Linked DNA regions of Oryctolagus cuniculus. The protein of the gene in region 2 interacts with the protein of the main gene of each other region in a pairwise test. Links are inferred from orthologs where the notes say so. Each region holds a gene or a part of one and is shown on either strand. Other genes may lie near its edges.

Region 1 (3,920 bases), on a different chromosome or scaffold from region 2:
GCTTCTCGGACAGCATGATCTTGGTGACGGGGCTGCGGTGCACGGTGAAGGTCTGGAAGAGCTGGGGCCCCGAGCCCACCGTCTCGGGGTGCTGCACGATGACCCGCACGCCCCCGGAGCTCGTGCCGTAGGCGATCTCGATCCAGTTCCCGCTGTCGCCTGCAGGGAGGGCCTGCGTTACGGAGAGCGAGCAACAACCACGCAACAGGGAGAGGGCGAGCTGGGAAGAAGGGAGAGAAGATGCGGGAGACGGAGGAGGAGGAGGGTGCGAAGGGCACAGATCAGAGAGAGAGATGCAGAGATGGGAACTCAGACGGAAACGGCTAATGACGGAGACAGAGAGCGAGAACGTGAGAAACAGGGACATGCAGGAAGGACATCAGAGAGACAGACAGGCAGAGACCCGGGGATGGAACTACAGAGATAAACATAGAAAGAGACCTAGAAACACGGAGAACAAGACAAGAAAATGGAACCCAGACGGCCCGAGGGACTCCCAGCCCTGCACTTTCTACCAGGGAAGAATTATAGTTTGCAACTCTCAGAAATTTGACGGAGGTTTCAACACTGTGTGCAGCAGGCACAGCTGTGGGTTAGGGCGACACGTGGGAATGCGGACAGGGAGCGAGCCCAGGGCAGACGGAAGCGGAGCCACGTGACCCGTGCCAAAACGCGCCCACGACGCCTACCCTGTAAGGTGACATGTTAAGCCTGGAAATGGTGGCACGCAGTGGGAGGAACGGAGTGAGTGTAGGAATGAGCGCCTCACATGGAGTAAAGGCCGCACGCCCTGAAGCTGGGGTCATCAGCCAACCTTCTCCTGCTGGGAGACGTGAACTCACACCCCTACCTCACACCCCACAGTCAAGGTAGAGATGGGAGAGACCCGTGTGTGAAAGCTAAAGCGAGAAGCTTCTGGAAGAAAACACTGGGGAATACAGCCCGCGGGTAGGTAAGGACATCTGAAGATTCAGAAAGCACTAGTGACAAAAAACAAAAGCAAACAACTGGGAGTGGGGAGTGGGCCTGGGGGTTAGGCACGGGTCGGCACCAACATCCCCATGGGAGGCGGCTGGGTTTAATGCCCGGCTCTGGCTCCCGACTCTGTAGTTGGCTCCCTGCCATTCATGTGGGAGACCTGGACTAAGTTCCCAGCTCCTGGACTCAGTCCCCGGCGGCCACTGGGGGCATTCGGGGAGAGAAGCAGCAGATGGCAGCTCTCTCTTTCTCTGCCTTTCAAGTAACAAAACCTACCAACCAACAAAACCCGCATGGACGAGTATTATGCTAAGCAAAAAACACCAGACGAAAGGCCACAGCCTTTGATTCCATTTACATGAAACACTCAGAACAGGCAAATCCACAGAACGTGATGGAGACCAGTGGTTCCCAGAGGCTGTCGGGAGCGGGGAAGGGGGTGACGGCTAACGGGTAGGAGCTTCCCACGGGGGGCGATGAGAATGTTCTGGGATTCGACAGTGGCGGTTGTTGTACAACCTTGTGAATATACTTTAAAAGTGTGAACGTTACGTCTTAGGACTTTAATCTCAAACAGAAACCGACCAAAAAACAACCAAAAAACTCTCAAGTAAGAGATCACAGCTTTGTCCCCTGTAGAATGCACTACCCTGTGCTATGTGGACGTGCAAAAGTCACGCCCCCTCGCAGAGATGGGAAAGAAATACAAAGGGGGCCCCAGGGGCCATGGCGCCCCTGCAGGAGCGCCTAGAACAGCTGGGACACAAGGCGCGCTCAGTGGGTGTTTGTTGAGCGACTACATGAGGGTTGGATCCTGCCCCCTTTGTTAAGGCCACACCCATGGGAGAAGACAGCTGCGGGCGGGGCCGGGGCCAAGGCGGGGCTCCAGCAGGGAGGGCAGCGGGGTCTCAGCTTACTGGTCTTGGGGGTGAGGTAGACGCTGAGGGCGGTGACCCCGTCCTCCGCTGGGTCGCGGTACAGCTCGCTGACCAGGAGGTCGTTGTCTTTCATGCGCAGGGGGAACTTCTGCACGTCTGGGAGGGCAGGGGGACGTGGCAGGCTCGCTCAGGGCGCCCTCCCCGTGGCGCTGAGGGGCGTGGCAGGCTCCCTCACGCAGGGGGACGTGGCGGGCTTACTCAGGGCGCCCTCCCAGTGGGGCAGGGGGGCGTGGCAGGCTCCCTCACGCAGGGGGGCGTGGCGGGCTTACTCAGGGAGCCCTCCCAGTGGGGCAGGGGGGCGTGGCAGGCTCCCTCACGCAGGGGGGCGTGGCGGGCTTACTCAGGGAGCCCTCCCCATGGGGCTGAGGGGCGTGGCAGGCTCCCTCAAGACGCCCTCCCCGCCCTCCCCGTGGGGCAGGGGGGTGTGGCAGGCTGGCTCAGGGCGCCCTCCCTGTGGGGCTGAGGGGTGTGGCAGGCTCCCTCAAGCAGGGGAGCGTGGCGGGCTTACTCAGGGCACCCTCCCCGTGGGGCAGGGGGCCGTGGCAGGCTCACTCACGACACCCTCCCTGTGCCCTCCCCCTGCTGTTTCTGGGGGGTGGGGGCTGCTCACCCACGTAGTAGATGGAGCCGTTGTTACAGCCCAGGAGAAGGAAGGAGCCGGCCGCGTCATAGCTGGTGATGGGCTGCAGCTCCTGCACCTGCGGTGGGCGGGACAGGGCCCCTGGAGACACACCCTCCCCAGCCTGTTTCCAGCTGTTCTCCTGCGACCCCTGGGCGTGGGTGGCTCTGTCCCTGTGCTCCGAGTTTCTCCTCCACACTGTATTTCTGGCCTCCCTGAGGCTCCTTAGGCTGCCATCACACTCATCCCCTGGTTCTGGCCCACTGCTGTGTTCTCGGGCTCTCTCCCCAGGGAGGGCACAGAAGGGAACCCACGCGCCAGGTCCCTGCAGGGCAGAGCCTGGAAGCGGGGGCAGCCAGGCTAGCGGAGGCCTACCTGCCAGTGCTTGGTGACGGCGTTCCACACCCCGATGCGCCCTGTGTGGCTCGTGGCGATGAGCTGGTTCCCGACAAAGAACAAGGCCTCCACCGGCACCCCCAGATGGAAGACCCCTGCGGAGGGCAAGGAGGGCTCAGCGGGGGTGCCTGGCGGGGCAGGGGTGGGGGATGGGGAGGGGGGGGAGGACACTGCAGGAAGAACTCCAGGGACCGAGGAGCCGCCAGCTCTGAGGACGCCAACAGGCAGACCTGTCCCGCAAGCCGGAGACTCCTCATGGGGACAGACCCGGGCTCTGCGAGCTTGGAGCGCTCCGGCAAGGCGGGGACCTGACAAGGCAGGGGGCGCCTGGTGGAGGCGGGAACTGCATGTGGGTTTCCCGCGCCGTTCAGGCATGCTAATGGCCGGAGCACCCCGAGGAGCCCGAGATCTAAGGCGGCAGAGGACTGGTGCACAGGCCGCGGGAGTCTGAGGGGAAGAAGTTTCTGGAAAAGGCCTGGGGCCGTACCTATCTCCGAGCCACCGCCTTCTGCCTGCAGGGCCCACAGCAGGATCTCGCCGCCCGTGGCCGCGGCCACCATCTTGTCGTGCTCGCCCAAGGCGCCGCCGGGCACGCGGGCTGTGAGCGCCAGGCGCTCAATGGGCCAGTCCAGGCGGGGGCTGGAGAACACCAGCTGCCAGCCGGAGGCTTCCTTCAGCCTGCAGAATGGGGGACGCCATCACCCCTGCCCTCACGCCCGCCCTGTCCATGGGGCTCAGACCTCCCGGCCCCTCCCTGAGCACCTGTAGCAGACAAGGAACTGGGTATAGGCCACGGCGATCCAGCTGTGGTGTCCGCAGACCAGGCGAACCATCCCCGGCTCCTCGGGTTGCCCTTGGAGGGAAGGGCAGGGCTGAGGGCAGGGTCACGGGGCCCCGCGGGCTGCGCGGACGGCAAGGCCAGGCACCTACCTGACGGAGAGGGTGGGGCCCTCTCATCCGGCATCCGCCCCAGCAGCCCTGCATTGCCC
Region 2 (3,920 bases):
CTTAACTATTACAAACACACATTTCACATATCTTTTAATTCCATTTTTCCACAATCTTTTTGAAGTACCTTCATATTCTTCATAAATTATAATCAAAATTCCTGTATGAAAAATAGACATTTTGGGAGTGGGTACTGTGACACAGAGGGTTAAACCGCTGTTTGGGAATTCCTACACATCTTATCTGAGTGCCTATTATGGTCCTGGCTCCTCCTCTTCTGATCCAGCTTCCTGTTAATGCCACTGAGAAAGTAGCAGATAATGTCCCAAATACTTCAGTTCCTGCCACTCATACTGGATACTCAAACGGAGTTCTGGGCTCTTGGCTTCACACTGGCCCAGCCCTGGTTGCCGCCGGTATAGGGAGAGTGCACCAGCAGATGGAAGATCGCGCTCTCTCTCTCTGCCTTTCAAATAATGAATATACAAATGTTACGCCTTTTAAAAATAGGTGTTAAAATTGCAATAGCTATTTATGAATATGTAAAATAGTAAATTTGACATAAATACCTCTAACAAAATAGTTGCCCACTTGAGTATTTTGTGTTGTTATAAATTTTATTTAGATATTGCATGTTGTATGAGATACTTTCACTGTACTCATTTAAATGTATGAGGTAGTAGAGAATGGAAAAGTTAATGAAAAATATTTGAAATTCAAAAATCAAGTATCATTATTTCTATATACACTTAATAAGACAATAAAAAGATACCATTTGAACTTAATTTCATAGTGCTGTCTGCATCTAATAATCCAACTTTATCTTCCATTCACAGTGACAAAGTTGTCTTTTACTTTCTGATTTATGAGAATTTGGCTTCATAATGATGAAGTTGTGTCTCTGATATTCTTTCAACATACTGCTCAAGAGCAGGGCCTACCACAATTAAGACATTTCACAATTAGGTTTCCAGCAGCAGTTCAAATAAATTGAAGGCAAAATTGAAAAATTTAATTTAGAGTCACAAATACTTGCTGAAAACATTAAGTAAGTATGTTAGGCATAATTAATACCTTTAACACAAGTCTCCATGCAGGTTATAGAGATGGTATTAATTCAGGAATATCCCAACAATCTCTTCATCAAACATTTCCTAGCCCTAATCTTTTGAGTATTTAATCACCTCTCCCCACACATTCTAAAGGTAAGCAGGAAAGCACTAAATCAATCCTTGAATAGTACATCAGTTAATATAGACAATCATTCTCACTTTTCATAAAGTCCTACTCAGCCAGGGCTCATCAAATTACAGCCTGTGGACTGAATACAGGCTGGCACTTATTTTTGATCAGCTCATAAATTAAAAATGGTTTTCACATTTTTTAATGGTTGCAGAAAATATTAAAAGAAAAATATTTAGTGACATCTGAAAATCCAATAGTTTTATACGGACACAGTCAAGCATATTCATTTGAGTTACTGTCTAAGGCTACATCCTCACTATGACAGCAGAGATGAGTAATTGAATGTATAGCCTCGGAGCCTAAAATATTGACTAGCTTGTCCTTTACCAAAAGAACTTCACCTATCCCCGGTTTAAACGTTACAAGAGTACCTTATTTTATAAAACATGGCAAACAAACTAAAACATGATTTTTGTTTTGTTTTTTTGCTTTTACCAAACAAGTTTATCAGACAAATCCTATTAGAAGTTTCTGATTTAATATCTTTTATTAAGATATTTAATTTAATAAAATTTAATAAAAACAACAAAGTTACATACAACTTTTATGAATTTGTCACATATACAGAAATGTAACCATTAAAAAACACAAGGCAAGAATTTCACTAGTAAAAATAGATGGGCCAGCGCTGCGGCTCACTAGGCTAATCCTCCGCCTTGCGGTGCCGGCACACTGAGTTCCAGTCCCGGTCGGGGCACCGGATTCTGTCCCAGTTGCCCCTCTTCCAGGCCAGCTCTCTGCTGTGGCCCGGGAGTGCAGTGGAGGATGGCGCAAGTCCTTGGGCCCTGCACCCCATGGGAGACCAGGAGAAGTACCTGGCTCCTGCCATCGGATCAGCACGGTGCGCCGGCCGCGGCGGCCATTGGAGGGTGAACCAATGGCAAAAAAAGAAGACCTTTCTCTCTGTCTCTCTCTCTCACTGTCCACTCTGCCTGTCAAAAAAAAAAAAAAAAAAAAAAAAAAAGATGAGTAATCCCCTCCTCCTATCAGTTTTCTTTTCCTTTCTTATGCACCTTCCTCCCTTTGCAACTCTTCTTTGAAAAACTGTTTCCTGGATAGGTGGTTAGCCGAGTGGTTAAGATGCCAGCTGGCATGCCCATATCTGGGTTCTGGCTCTCAGTTCCAATTCTAGCTAAAATGTACTCTAGAAGTAGCAGGTAATGAATGGCTCAACTAATTGGGTTCCTGCAAATGATGTTGGAGACCTAGATTGATTTCCCGGTTCCCAATTCAGGCCAGGCTCAGCTCCTGCAAGTTTGGACATCTGGGGATCAGCAGGAAGGGGGCATTCTCTCTGCCTCTCACATAAAGATGTTTTTCATTCCCTGCTTCTTAGGTCATGAACCCAATAGGAAACATGTATTTCCTTTAGTAAGGATAAATGGCTAAGTTATTGCTAAGATTTCATCAAGGAAAGAAAGCAAGAATAAATCATGCTTACTTATGTTTATTACCATTATCAGTAGTTTAGAAAGTGAAAAATTTAAATTTTAGAAGAATGAGATCCTTTGATTGTTGTTGTTCTACTTCTAATATTTCTCCTAGGCTGCTCAATATTTTTTTTTTTAAACAGGAAGAAAAAAGCCCTAAAGAATAAATGTTACAATTAGGTCAAAAATGCTTACCTTTAATTTCTGTAATTTCTACTCCTTTTCTACCAGTCTATCACTTCAGAGTTCCTCCAAACCAATCTATTAGTTTTCCTAAATATGTCAGTATTTTTATTTAGCTTCACCTTCAATAATTTAGTTGGTTTGAAATTGTAAAGTTTCAAGTTTTCATTAATAGGAAATTACAAGTCAACAAGTACTAACAACATTTGAGAAATATGTATAATGGAATCACACATATCCCTGTATGTATTTTACTAATAATTTAAAAAAACTTATTTTTACATTTTGGCTCACTTATCAAAATTAAGTTCCACAGAAAATCCTACAGAAATTTTAAAATGTGGATTTCAGATTTTAAAAGAATCACAAAAACTTGAGAGTACATGGGCATAGTAAGTAGCCAAATCCACCACTATATAAAAATAAAATACAGAAATGAATAAGGAGCTCAACTACGAGTCACATCAATATTATTAAACCTCTTACTGTCCACATAAGAAAAACAAAGTGAGGAGACTTGAGGGATAGGAGAAAAAGAAAAGTCATTCAATTCACTAGAACTACCTAAAATTGTAAAAAAGAAAGTAACAAGGTAATAAATTAATGACACAAACCACAACTTCCTGAAAACCGACATTTATAATCTACTTTAATTGCAGAAGAATAAAAAAATTGATAGGTCATATATGAATTTAACTGATTTTCAACTGGTAACACACCTACCTTCTGTCTTTCCATTTTTCAACATATGGACTAGACCAGAATTCTCCATTTCTACTATAGTCTTCATGTGCTTGGAAATGAGTTCCCTCTCAACCACTTTTACAATTGGTTCTTCAGTTGATTTGTCAAGGCAGTGCATCACCCGTTCTATTTCTTCATTAATTCTAGCTTCTACTTTCTTTATATATACGGAAGCACTGTTCTCTGCTAAAAATTTCTGGCTTTCCATCTGTAATTAATAAGAATGATTTTTTTTCCTTTAAAATGCAGAAGGTATTTATTGGGTTTCTACAGAGTTTTCTCATAAATCAGCCTAAATAACCTAAAGATTATCAATTTTTATATAATTTCCCCTATGTAAATTCATACATAGTCTGAATTATATCATTTAAAGCATG
Region 3 (3,920 bases), on a different chromosome or scaffold from region 2:
CCAGCACACTTAGTAGGTCCTTAGGAATGTGTTGAATGCACAGATCTCATAAATCCAGGGAACAGTTTGCTGCCCTGAAAGCTAGTTCTGAGTATTCTTATTTTTTTGACAGGCAGGAGTGGACAGTGAGAGAGAGAGACAGAGAGAAAGGTCTTCCTTTTGCCGTTGGTTCACCCTCCAATGGCCGCCGCGGCCGGTGCACCACGCTGATCCGAAGGCAGGAGCCAGGTGCTCCTCCTGGTCTTCCATGGGGTGCAGGGCCCAAGCACTTGGGCCATCCTCCACTGCACTCCCTGGCCATAGCAGAGAGCTGGCCTGGAAGAGGAGCAACCGGGACAGAATCCGGCGCCCCGACCGGGACTAGAACCCGGTGTGCCAGCACCGCAAGGCGGAGGATTAGCCTAGTGAGCCGCGGCACCGGCCTGAGTATTCTTGGTGTGGGGGTGTCAGCCACCTGTGTCTGGACTCCTGGCCTTTCTTTGGAGAGTTCTCCATGTTCAAGGCCTAGGGAGGGAGGCTGCACTTGCTGGAGCTTCCTCAGGACACAGCAGGCAGTGTGCCGAGAGCCCAGGACTGTGGGTTGAACACTGTCTTAGGATCTCATGACTGAATTTTTAAAAATATTACACACTTTGATCTATATCCTGCTAAAAGTAGGTTAAAAAATTAGGATAATTCAAACACCCACATTCACCTTGACAAGCTTTCCTCTTAAAACATGATGGGACGAACAAACATTGTCTTCCACATGGAGGGACAGCACGGGCTTGGACCCTCTGTTCCTCCGGGGCTGCCCACTCCTCTCTGGATGGCTGGGATCCTTCAGGAACTCCACGATCTGCCGTTTACAGGCATTTCCGGGCTGTCCCCTTTGTAGGACACTGAACCTTCTCCCAGGCTTCCTTGCTGAGGTGGCCTAGGGGAAGCTACCAGCACCTATCCGTGGCTGTTCCATTTCCTACCACATTAGTTTCCAAGAGAAGGCTCCTCCAGTCTCCAGGAGATCCACTTCCTACCAGAAAATCCATGTCCTACCCCTGGTGTTTGAGAACTCTCCTTCCTGGCCACGTCTGAGTTGCGGGCCAGTCTCCTGGGGCACACACACCCCTTGCTCTCACCCAGCCCTTCCCCCAAGGTCGGAAAACCAATCATCAGAGATGTCACAGCCTGATGCCTTGCGTAGTTTTCCAACTCACACATAATTTGGAAGGCAATGCTTTCTCCAGCAGTCTGGATGCCTCATTATTATGCAGAAAAGCGTCTACAATTCCTCTTCCTCCACCCTGTCCAGACCCTCATCTTCTTCCCTGTCCAATTTTAAATCGCAGCGTCTGAGCCATCTGGGAATAAGAGTAGGGGCCATTGTGGGGACTGGCACTCTCTCTGACAAAGAGGTGCTTTGCCATTGCTGTTCCATTTAGAGATAGATTAACTCCTTATCTAAGAGTCCGCTCTACCCTCAATTTCCAATGAGGCAGGAGGCGAGGCAAGGATTAATCTCCACCTTGCATAAATACAGGCAATTGACGACCTGTGTGCACAATGGCCAGGCCACATGATCTGACAAAGGATTTACTTCTTCTGAGTCATGATTCGTTCTCATTAAGTCCTACAAAGGCATTGAAATCAGGCTGCTCTAAGCATTTGCTGCAGACTTAACGAATCACCTTTCCCGAGGAAGGAGGAAATTGCACAGATCTCCCAGGAAATCCAGCCAGCTCAGTCATCGTAGCTTCATGATATAGACTTGAGTTAATTATGAAAAATGTCCAATTCCTTAAAGTAACAAAATTCAAAAAAAAAGTCCTGCACATCACAGCCATGTATCCTGGTGAGGCTGAACTGGGCGAAAGGCAGAGCTGAATGTCAAATGATAATTCCTGCTAAATAATTCAGGCCCTGGGAACTCTGATATTTTACTTAACGTTAATGAGTATAATGGGTGCAATTAGAGGCTGCTGCTTCTCCGCCCCCCGTGCTAGACACAGATGTACTCCGGCCTCCATGCGGGCTCCACCTGTCTTGGGGTAACTCCTTCCTGGATTTCAGCTTCTGCCATTAGTAGACACTAAATAAATGGATGTTGAAGTCAGCCACTGAGCATGCTTTGCCAGTGACTATCATGGAGAGAGAGAGAAAGAGGTAGCAGAACAAAAAGGAGACAATTGTAGCCAGTGCTGTGGTGTTTTGGGTAAAGCCGCCGCTTGTAGTGCTGGCATCCCATATGGGTACCAGTTCAAGTCCCGGTTGCTCCACTTCCGATCCAGCTCTCTGCTATGGCCTGGGAAAGCAGTAGAAGGTGGCCCAAGTGCTTGGGCCCCTGCACCCACATGGGAGACCCAGAAGAGGCTCCTGGCTTCGGATCGGCACAGCTCTAGCCATTGTGGCCAACTGGGGAGTGAACCAGCGATGAAAGACCTTTCTCTCTCTCTCTCTTTCTTTCCCTCTCTCTGCCTCTCCTTCTCTCCCTGTGTAACTCTTTCAAATAAATAAATAAATAAATCATAAAAAGAAGACATTTTCATAAGCTAGTCTGTTTGCAAAAGGAAAAATTAAAAAAAAAAAAAGAAGTCTTAGGGCTTAGGTTTCTCTCTAAGGTTATTTTCTCTTTCTTCCCACACAGGGAAGTGACGCCGATCTGGTGGATAAAAACAAATGCTGCACTCTCTGTAACATGTCCTTTACCTCTGCCGTGGTGGCCGACTCGCATTATCAAGGCAAAATCCACGCCAAAAGGTTAAAACTGTTGCTAGGAGAGAAAACCCCATTAAAGACTACAGGTATGTGTGTCAGCGATCATCCCCGGGGGGAGGCACCAGCAACCGAAAGCTGTGCCAGCCACGTGAATCACGCTGTCTCCTTGCAGGCGGCATCAGGGTCTGACGGCATATGTCACCCACGGGGCGGGAGGGGGGATGGGCGGGGGCGCCCCCGGCAGCGGCTGCTGTCATGGATCCTGAGGTCCAGGGGCTCATTTGGTCTGTCTGAGGGCTCCTGTAGGTTAGCGATACAGCAGCTTGCGTCTATGGCACGGCTGTTTACACGGTGCAAGGTGCTGTCTTCTGTCTGTTCTGTATTATGCGCTCTGTTATAGCTATTGTGTCCTTCGCTGGATGGATTCCGTCTGTGAGCAGCGTGGATAATGGAGAGCGTATTGTGTGCGTGTGTGAGAGAGGCAGACCCCCTCCCAAGCTCTGCAGAAGAAAGGCTATTATTGTCACCTTGTTCTTACCTTGAGTGGGTGGGTGAGGGAGTCGGTAGGGGTTGGCAGAAGAACAATTGTCATCTTAAGAAAAAAAAAACAACCACTTTATTTTGCAGAAAATGCGATTTTTTCCCCCCAACAGGCGTCCCTGTCATCTTTGCCTTTACCGGTGACAGATGAAAGTTTAAATATTGATAGCAGATTATTTGACCTTCCGATGGCTTCGCTTAAAACATTCTGCAGAGGTGTGTAAGTCGCGAAGCTGAGGATGCTGTTCTGATGCCTTCGAGACGGGGTTTGTCTTGTGGCCAAGGTGCTACTAGAGTGGGGGTGTTCGTCATGATGTCTGCTCTTTCAATGCAATTAAAATTTGGCAATGCATTTTTTGTCTCCTTGTCTAATGAATCGTGCATAAATCGTGGGTGTAATTATTTTTTAAGTGGTATTTTGGAAATCAGAGGGAGTCTCAAACAATCCTTGGCTATTATCCTCACCAGTGTTTTTCTTAAGGAAAACGTCTTGTTTCACCCAGAGAAGAGCAAGGGATCTTTGCACTCTTCTTTTACTTATTTATTTTTTTCTACTGAGTTTAACGAAGGAATGTTGTTTTCATAAAGGTGGCTTTGACATTCAGGCACACAATGGGGGTGTAAGACACATGACACCTGGAGTCGAGCACTAGCACTGCTTGTTTGGGGCACGCTGTGGCATTTGG

Evidence for each region.
Region 1: the proteins of CUL3 (region 2) and SHKBP1 interact in binary tests that used the Homo sapiens proteins (3 or more experiments, as listed by UniProt). The link is inferred for Oryctolagus cuniculus from reciprocal best matches to the Homo sapiens genes CUL3 and SHKBP1.
Region 3: the proteins of CUL3 (region 2) and ZMAT4 interact in binary tests that used the Homo sapiens proteins (3 or more experiments, as listed by UniProt). The two-hybrid records come from large-scale screens. The link is inferred for Oryctolagus cuniculus from reciprocal best matches to the Homo sapiens genes CUL3 and ZMAT4.

What each region holds. Positions count from the first base shown.
Region 1 is NC_091449.1:13,777,224-13,781,143, forward strand, and holds part of SHKBP1 (SH3KBP1-binding protein 1), read right to left. Parts: coding exon 3,862-3,920; intron 3,785-3,861; coding exon 3,694-3,784; intron 3,610-3,693; coding exon 3,419-3,609; intron 3,027-3,418; coding exon 2,911-3,026; intron 2,615-2,910; coding exon 2,527-2,614; intron 2,013-2,526; coding exon 1,896-2,012; intron 160-1,895; coding exon 1-159.
Region 2 is NC_091434.1:14,714,392-14,718,311, reverse strand, and holds part of CUL3 (cullin-3), read right to left. Parts: intron 3,752-3,920; coding exon 3,523-3,751; intron 1-3,522. UniProt on the Homo sapiens protein: Core component of multiple cullin-RING-based BCR (BTB-CUL3-RBX1) E3 ubiquitin-protein ligase complexes which mediate the ubiquitination and subsequent proteasomal degradation of target proteins.
Region 3 is NC_091433.1:91,224,065-91,227,984, reverse strand, and holds part of ZMAT4 (zinc finger matrin-type protein 4), read left to right. Parts: intron 1-2,623; coding exon 2,624-2,780; intron 2,781-3,920.